2 linked regions of the Oryzias latipes genome follow. Each later gene encodes a partner of the first gene's protein in a complex. Links are inferred from orthologs where the notes say so. Each region holds a gene or a part of one and is shown on either strand. Other genes may lie near its edges.

Evidence for each region. Proteins that work in one complex are often made in the same cells at the same time.
Region 2: camlg (region 1) and wrb share a complex: the UniProt entries of both Homo sapiens proteins name them as parts of the golgi to ER traffic (GET) complex. The link is inferred for Oryzias latipes from reciprocal best matches to the Homo sapiens genes CAMLG and GET1.

The regions. Positions count from the first base shown.
Region 1 is NC_019872.2:3,757,255-3,761,546, reverse strand, and holds the start of camlg (calcium signal-modulating cyclophilin ligand), read left to right. Parts: upstream 1-1,482; 5' UTR 1,483-1,748; coding exon 1,749-1,908; intron 1,909-3,547; coding exon 3,548-4,008; intron 4,009-4,130; coding exon 4,131-4,196; intron 4,197-4,292. UniProt on the Homo sapiens protein: Required for the post-translational delivery of tail-anchored (TA) proteins to the endoplasmic reticulum.
Region 2 is NC_019871.2:25,295,550-25,299,756, reverse strand, and holds the start of wrb (tail-anchored protein insertion receptor WRB), read left to right. Parts: upstream 1-1,399; 5' UTR 1,400-1,531; exon of another isoform or gene 1,532-1,599; 5' UTR 1,600-1,637; coding exon 1,638-1,727; intron 1,728-2,597; coding exon 2,598-2,763; intron 2,764-3,135; coding exon 3,136-3,203; intron 3,204-4,207. Other genes in the region: non-histone chromosomal protein HMG-14A, read right to left, coding at 50-79, 963-977. UniProt on the Homo sapiens protein: Required for the post-translational delivery of tail-anchored (TA) proteins to the endoplasmic reticulum (ER).

The DNA.
Region 1 (4,292 bases):
GATCTCTTAATCATGCTTATTAATACTTGTATATTGAAGACTGCGGTATATAAAGGTGGAGAAATGCTGATGATTTTAGTATAAAGGAAATGATACTAAGAGAATAAACTGTCTGGGACTTTTTAAAGGAACTTTTTGTGTTTTGGATGTCAGACGATGTTTGTTCCAGATTTAAATCAAGGCGGTTTGATTTAAGGGCTCAGATTTAGAACCATTTCAAACTGTTTCATAAGCTGTTTATTCTGAAGAATCTGGTTAGCAGCTCATATGTGTCGTATTTTTGTGTCAGACAAATGACTTTAATTCGACAAGAACAGCAAAGTGAGTGAAATGCATCTTCACAATGTACTTCCATTGAATGCATCAGACCGACTCACTGCAACAAAGCTTCTGGCTGGGGGAGGAACAGAGTATATGAAGGTAAACTGAATTATGGTGGTGGAACCACAGCAAATAGCAATAAGCAGACTTTTTTCATTGCCTTCTTGTCATCCTGACATTCAAATATGACCCTTTTTCAACAACCACATTTCTACTCATGTCTACAATAAAGACTGTAGTAAAGTAAATAGTTAAGCTTTTGTAATTACTTGTATTTGACTGTATTAATTTATAAATAAAAATGCTGATTTTAGAAGAGCTTCAATATTTTCAAACCGTTTCCCATTTAATTCTAAATTTCAGTTATTTTGGGTTTTATTCTTTTTTTCCCATAGTTTTACTGTGATAAATAGTTTACTACTGTAGAAATAGTGACTATTTTAAAAATTATATGATTGCTATCCTTGTTATTGCTGTTGGAATTGACAAATAGATTTTAGTGTTGGTCGAATAAAAAGGCAACCAAAACAGAATTGAAAGCACTCGTACAGCAAAGTCTTCTTCCACTTTCGGCTTCTCCCATCAGGGGTCGCCACAGCGAACGAGTCGCATGGTAAATTTGGCAATGTTTTACGCCGGATGCCCTTCCTGACGCAACCTTCTCAAACCGGGCTTGGAACCGGCAGAGGTAGAGAAGGGAACAGGGAGCAGCCCGGAGTCGAACCCGGGTTTCACGGACGGAAGGCGCCGCAAACCAGCATGAGCTAAACTGGCTCCACTCGTACAGCAAAGACGATAAGTAAATAAAAGTAAACAAAACTATAAATGTAACATTTATGGAAGTTGGACAAACTTCAACACATACAAAAGATTTATGAAGCAACAGAAGAAGAAAAAACCTCTCTTCTACCTCACAATAAGGGCATTTGTTTTGATAAATCTTTAATAGATCTATTAATATGTCAATAACTAATAGCTGTTGAGGCAAAGTTTTCATTCAGTTTATGAAGAGACAGTTTACAAGCAAAGCTCTCTCACTGCACAAGACAAAAAGCACATTTAACAATTATGAATTATTACAATTATATTCCATTCCAGTCCGGATCATTTCAATAAGACCAGTCTGTCTTAATTGAATTTACACAAAGAATATAGGCCTTACAGGCCTTCCATCTGTTTTTCTTTTTCTCCTGCAAGACAAAACTCAGCGCAAACACACCGAGGCGACGACTTTACTGTGACGTCATCATCGTGCGCCCCATCTCCTGTTTATCCACCGTCATTCGTTGCTGGCAGTCCTGGGCCTTTTGGATAACGAGTCTCCGAGCCTCTTATCTGTGCAGTGTGTGGGGGTGAGTGGGTCTCCGCCTTCACCTGCTGTGGTCGAACGATTTAGGTCCAACGAACCGAGCTCGAACCCGAACATCATGGACACCGGTGGCGACACCAGCGAGGAGGCGACGGGCTCCTCCACCATGTCTGCGGCGCAGCGGAGGGCAGAGATGCGGAGGAGGAAACTGCTCCTGAACTCCGAGGACAGGCTCAACAGAATCGTGGGCTTCGCCAAAAACGGTTCCGACAACAACGGTACTAAAGCCCAGCCGAACCGCTGCAGGGCTCAGCGCGTTGACATCATCATGAGTCGAAGTTTTTACCAAAACACAATAATTTCATTTGTAGTAAGTGTCCACATGGTTCTTTGTGCGTTTCTACAAACGAGACTGCAGTAGAGAACTGATCCAAATGGAGTCAAGCATCGATGTTTGCACAAACTAGAGGGGAAGTCTGCAACCTTACAGAACCATTCAGGTCCATTTCTCACTGAACAAAACTCAAGAAGAGCCTCAAAATCTAATTTTACCCTTTAGAAACACAAGATACTGATTCGTATTTATGTTACTATTTCTGATCAATTTAAATGTACTGTTGTTTTTGGTATAAATAAAACATAAAGAGATTTATTTCTAAATATAAAACATTTTATAACTATTGACAGACGTTCACGTGGTTTCCTTTCAAAATAAGAGACACCTGGTTACACAAAGGAGCATCATCCGATGCAGCAACTGTAGTAGCAGGCGCTGTCATGTCCGCAGAAAAACAAAAAAAATACATGTTTGTGGTTCCTCTGAGCCAGAAATGTGAACATCTAAAGAAATAATGTTTAGTCAGAACTAATGAAGTGAATCCTGCTGTATTTTCTGAACAATAACTTGAACTTAAATCCTTGAATTTGTTTCAAAATGGAAAACCAAGGGACAAAAATAGAAAAATAATAAAAGAATTTCCAAATTTAGAAATAAAACACAAACTTGCCCGTTTCTGTGTTATTCTAAACTGATAGGTTTGATGTAACCTTTAGCACACCCATATGCTATATTGCAGAAATGTTTATATAGGTTTACATACAGTACTGGTTTCTTTTTTTTTTTCTAATTATTCTTTTCCACTTTCATCGAAGTATGTAAAGGGGCAGAATTCTTTTATTCTGTTCCCTTGAATTTCCCAGGCATAAGAATTTGTAGGATCGTTTTTTTTGTTTTTTTTTTTTTGTTTGTTTCGTGGAAAAGCATAGTAAATAAAGGAAAACAAATCCGCCTTATAAACCAGTCCACCTTAAGGATGAATTCTGCTTTTGCTTACTGACCTCCTTGTCAGCACCAAAACATCTGTCAAAAATATTTTGGCGCATCTTTGTTAAGCTTTGAAGCCTCGCCACTTGTTAGATTGTTGGAGCATTATGGGTAGTGTAGTCAGGAAGATCATGAAAAAAGTTCAACTTTTTCTGAACGATTTGGATAAAGTTTAAGTTAGTTTACTTTTTACTTTACAGTTACTTTTCAAAACCCAAAAAACGTTTGTTTTTCTATAAGCAGAGATTCATGAGGGGGGGGGGGGGGGGGGGGCATGTGCACATGCATTTTGGAGCGGATTACATTGATTGTTTTGGCTCTAAAAGCCTAAGGTTCATTTGAATAAACTATTGAATTTAAGACAATGCATGAAGTTATGTCTTTGTGCACTTCCTTTAATAGAAAATGCTAAGTGGTTTCATCCACACAGAAGGAGCTTCTCCCCAAACTTCTCACTGCTGACTGGAATTATTTTGCAGGTTCAGAAAACGTCTGAACTTCTTCTTTTATTCCTATAAGTCTTTAGTTTGGTTTGTATGTTCTTTGTTTGTTTTTCCCGCATGTTATTTCTGGTTCTCTGTTCTCCCGTTCAGGAGCTTCCCGGCGTCCTGCAGAGCCTCGTTTCCATCTTGACCTCGACAGGACGGAGCCGTGGTCCCCGTCCTCGTCTTCTCAGAGGCCGTCTCCCTTCCTGCCAGAATCGTCGGCGCTCAGCAGCCTGTCTCACACCGCCACTCCAGAGAGGAGGGGCTCGCCTCTGCCGGACTGCAGCGAGCCGCCGCCGGCCGTGGAGGATGACGTGGGCGCTCTCAGGCAGAGACTGAAGGGGGAGCGGGCGCCGTCGGACAACATCAGCGGCTCCCCGCGCAGGGGCCTCCAGAACTACCTGTCTCGCTTCGATGACGCCATGAAACTTCGGGGTCAGCTGGCCAGCGAGAAGCCGACTCAGGACGGCGGCGTTGAAACGGAGGAGTTCGATCCCTTCAGAGTCTTCAGGCTCGTCGGCAGCATCCTTCTCGCCGTGTTTGTCAGGATGTTTGTCTGCAAGTATCTGGTGAGTCTGCAGACACACCTCTGCACAAAGCACAACAATCCTATGACCGATTGATTGAAGAAATGTGTATTTGTCAAGTTTTCTGAATGCTTTAAGTCTGGGATTTGACCTTTTCATTGCAGTCAATATTTGCTCCTTTCCTGACCCTTGAACTGGCGTACATGGGATTATCCAAATACTTTCCAAAAGTGAGTTCGCTCTCCTTTATTCTGTGGGATCATGTTACATGCAGATGGCGTGAAGCAGGTTTGTCTTTTCAAAATGGGATTAATAGCTATAAAATG
Region 2 (4,207 bases), on another chromosome or scaffold:
TTTTCTACATTTTTCTTTAATGTGACGTAATGAATATTTCGCTACAAACCTCTGCACTCGCATCACCATCAGCTACAGCCTGGGAACATAAAGAAAACAGCAGAGCAATTAGACTTTTTATTGGAATGAACCATAACCGTTCACGGGTGAGCAAAAAGTGGGTGTGTAGATTATACGGGGGTGGGGGGATGGGCACCTCTCCTCCCCTTAAATCACAAAGAAATTATGCAATCTGTGGGCTCCGTCGCGAGTGGGGTTTAGTGTACAGACAACGGGCAGTTCCCCCCCTCCCACCCTCTGTTCAGACATTATTGGTATGCGCCAACTTTTACCTACAGGAAATGAAAACACGGTCCTCCTTTTGTGGCTATTCTTTCAAATCTGGCATTACCAGACCGCTTTCTTTTTGCACGAGAGCAACTGCATATTTATTGCACTGGAGTGGTGCATAACAATAAATAATCGAAATAAAAAACCCTACTTTGCAGAGCTAGGGAGCGGCAATTTTTTGGCTCCAGCAGTGCATGAAATCCACATTCCCTGAAAAAAGGTAATTTCAAGGAAGCCACCTGAGGCTACACCCCTTTGTTTGGTGTCTGCACATCAAGTTAAGCAAACGCGACATACATGATGCGCGGAGTGTTTTAGCAACATGATGAAGTCACGCCAGGCTGGTTGTGTAACGCGGGAACCCACTCGATCGAAAAAAGGAGGAACGAAAAAAAAAGGCATTTTCCCTCCTCTGAACCGAGGACGGAGGAAAAAAGGCGCCACTTCCCTATATCAACACGAGCGCGTGGAATCAGCGCGTCCACTGGCCGAACGACAGTAAATCTGCGTCCCCTTCAACTGTTTTAATTCGACTCTTCCTAAAAGCCATTTTTTGACGCCATTTAAAAAGGAGGACATTTCAATTTCCACGTGAATGTCAAGTCATATTTGACATGCACCTTCCTACTTACCTTCTTTCTTCCCATTGTCGATGAGATTGTGCGACAAAAGGCACAAAGGAGGAAAAAAAACTTTTTTCTTTTTATTTTAGTCAGCAAAGAAATTCAGGTCAGGCGTACACCTTCTTCCCACACCTCCAGAACAGAGTGGCACGTTTGCATCAACGATCGAGCAGTGCCAGAACCAGCTCATTCCGGATTGGATCCCCGGCTCGGCATATTTGATTCCTTATCCTACCAAGCAACCGGGGAAAACGAAGCCCCGCCCCCCGGCCTCGCTGATTGGCTCCGAGCTCGGGGCAGCAGATTTTTCAAAAGAAAACATCTTACCTGTGTGGGCAGGACGGCGTGCCAATCAGCGCACTCTCACTGTTCAATCATGATTGTAATGGCTCGCAGGGCGTGTTCCTTACAAAGTAATACATAAGAATCTGCGAAGAAACGCATTAAAAAGCGGACGAAACCACACATTATTGTGAAACTTGTTTGTTTCAGTAGCAGAAAAGAAAGCCCCGCTCTTCCATAAACGCTGTATCTATGTTTTAGCGAATTATTTAAATAATGCACATTATTTTTTGTCAGGTAAAAATGAAAACTATTAAAATACTGATTTATATTTATGAAACAAGTCTAATAGACCCTCCCCTCCGCCGAGGAGCTTCCTAGCTGCAGCAAAGAGGAGGAAAGATGGCGGCCGGCTACGCCTGGTTTCTGGTGCTCGGCTCAGTTTTTCTTTGCAACCTCATGAAAACCTTCTTGTCTACACTGTCGTCTCTCGTAAGTAGGAATGTAAAACCTTAGAAACATGAATTTCGGTAACGTTTTTCCTCAACATTGTGGCTTAAATTTAATACTATCCCTCGAATAGCTGCAGATTAGCTTAGCATCCAGGTTAGCTAACGCTAAAGTAAATAAATAGTGCTGTATTTAATTAGGCATCTTCCGCGTGCGCTTAAACCACACTTAGAGTAGGGATGTGTCTATATAGCTATGTGATTTCGCGGAGCTTGTTGGAAATATATTTTTATGTCGTAAATAATCTTGATTTCAATGTTTGCAAAGAAAATGCACTGAGGTCAGGGCTATCACACTGACCTCACAGTGCATTTGTGATCTTCCCAATTGTGCAATTCTGTAGGACGTCCATGTGAAGGTTTTTGTTGTCTTCTTCTTGGAAGAGAGTCCAGTCCGGGTCAGATTAGATGTGGCATTGCCACTAGAGCCGCATCTTAATATTTTTCTTCATTCATGGAGTCTGCAGCCCCATACCATCACACTGCCTCCACCAAACTACAATCAGCAAGTTTTTCATGGCCGCAACTGGCATGCCAGGATCTGCTGTTGCTTAATGTGTCACCTTTTAAAAAGTAGTTAAAATAACAAAAACGCAACATGGGGATAAAATGTTGAGTCTACACATCAACTTACTTTTAGTGCCGTTTTTTTATTTATGTTTGTTTTATTAACGCTGGGACTGTTTAACTATTTGGATTTACAGCTAAACTTAAGCAAATGAGGCGTGCGAGAGAAGAAAGGCAGCTAAACAATATTAATTCGTGATAATTTAATCTTTCATCTCACAATTTCTTATCTATTGTTTGTATTTTCGTTAACCTCTGTGTTGTTGTTGTTTTAAACTCTTCCCAGCTCTCTAAAATGATCCAAAAAGATGCTGAGCAGGAGAGTGAGATGAGGACTGAAATCCAGGGAATGAAGATGGAGCAGTCTTCCATCAGTATGATGGACGAGTTTGCTAAATACGCCAGACTGGAGCGCAAAATCAACAAAACAACAGACAAGCTAAAAACACACGGTGAGATGCAAATGGGTGTACGGGATAGCCAAATCCGCGCTGGTGCGGAGCCTCGTTTTTACATGTTGCACATTTGTGATACATGTTTGATTGTGAACAGCTGTCATTTGTTCCCGTTATTTACCTGTTTTCATTAAGTTTGTCATTTATTACAGTTTTAAAAGATATTTGTTTGCATTAAATAATATTTCTTCAGTCTCAGTAAGAAACATCTGCATAAATTAACAAGTTATTCAATATTTTGACGTTATCGACTCCCTTCAGCTCATAAGATGTGTATTTAAATCATGACAAGCAGTAGTTAAATATATTCAAATGTTGACAATTCAAGGTTTATTGTTGTGATATTTAAACGTTTTCTTACTTTTTCAGTGAAATCGAGAACTGCTCAACAGGCAAAGGTGAAATGGGTCGTGAACATTGTTTTCTACATAGCACAGGTAAGTGCCAACTTCAAAGTATCCTGATGTTGAGCCAAACATTTTCTCTTTTGATTTTCAGTCGGGGTCTAACGATCCATTTGAACAACAATTCAATTCATATCATAATTTGTGGTCACTGATTCATAGTTGATATTTGTTCATTTGAACCAGGCCTGGGCGAAAAATCGATTGATTGAATTAATTCGAATTTTTTGTTACGGGCGATTTAAAAAAAAAAAAAAAACTAAATCGAGCGGGGGGAATTAAAAAAAAAAGAAAATCGGATATTTTATTTTTAGGCCATATCGCCCAGCCCTAATTTGAACATTTGGATTTATTGACCTGAAATCGATCCAACACATCTTTAGCCAAAATTTAACCTGTGTGACTCAGAGGTCAATACCTGGGTCAAACCAAACGGAGCAGGCGAAATTTTCCAGATTCCTTGAATTTCTTGCAAGAAAATAAAGTGTAAATTTAATATGTGTACAAACAAACAAGTAAACAATTATTAATGTCAAATCCCTTCACATTTTACTTTCCTAAAGTTCAGCCTACTGTTGTTTATCCACATCCAAATAATCCAAAGGGAACATTATTATCAAACTTTATTTATAAAGCACTTTTCATATGATAGCGTAACACAAAGTGCTTTACATTAAACAAAACAAAATAAATAATGTAAAAACAAGCATGAAAATTAAAATAAACAAGCACCAAAAAAAATATAGTGTCCCCCCCTCCCCGTACCCATACATCACCCCCACTCCTTTCACACTTCCCACCCTATAACTGATTATATAGGGCGATTCCATTAACAACTTTGCCTCAGATGGATCTGGTTGGATCATAGGAATAAAAATCGCTGCATCGATAAAGTCAGTTATTCGTTAGACGCCTAGTTTTCAGCCACGAGCTAATGCTGATGGGAAAACTTGCTCCTGAGGATTTTAGGAACAAAGAAAGGGATGACATTGTTAGTTTTATTTCCAGGCATCTGAGGACTCAAAGTTCAGGTCTTG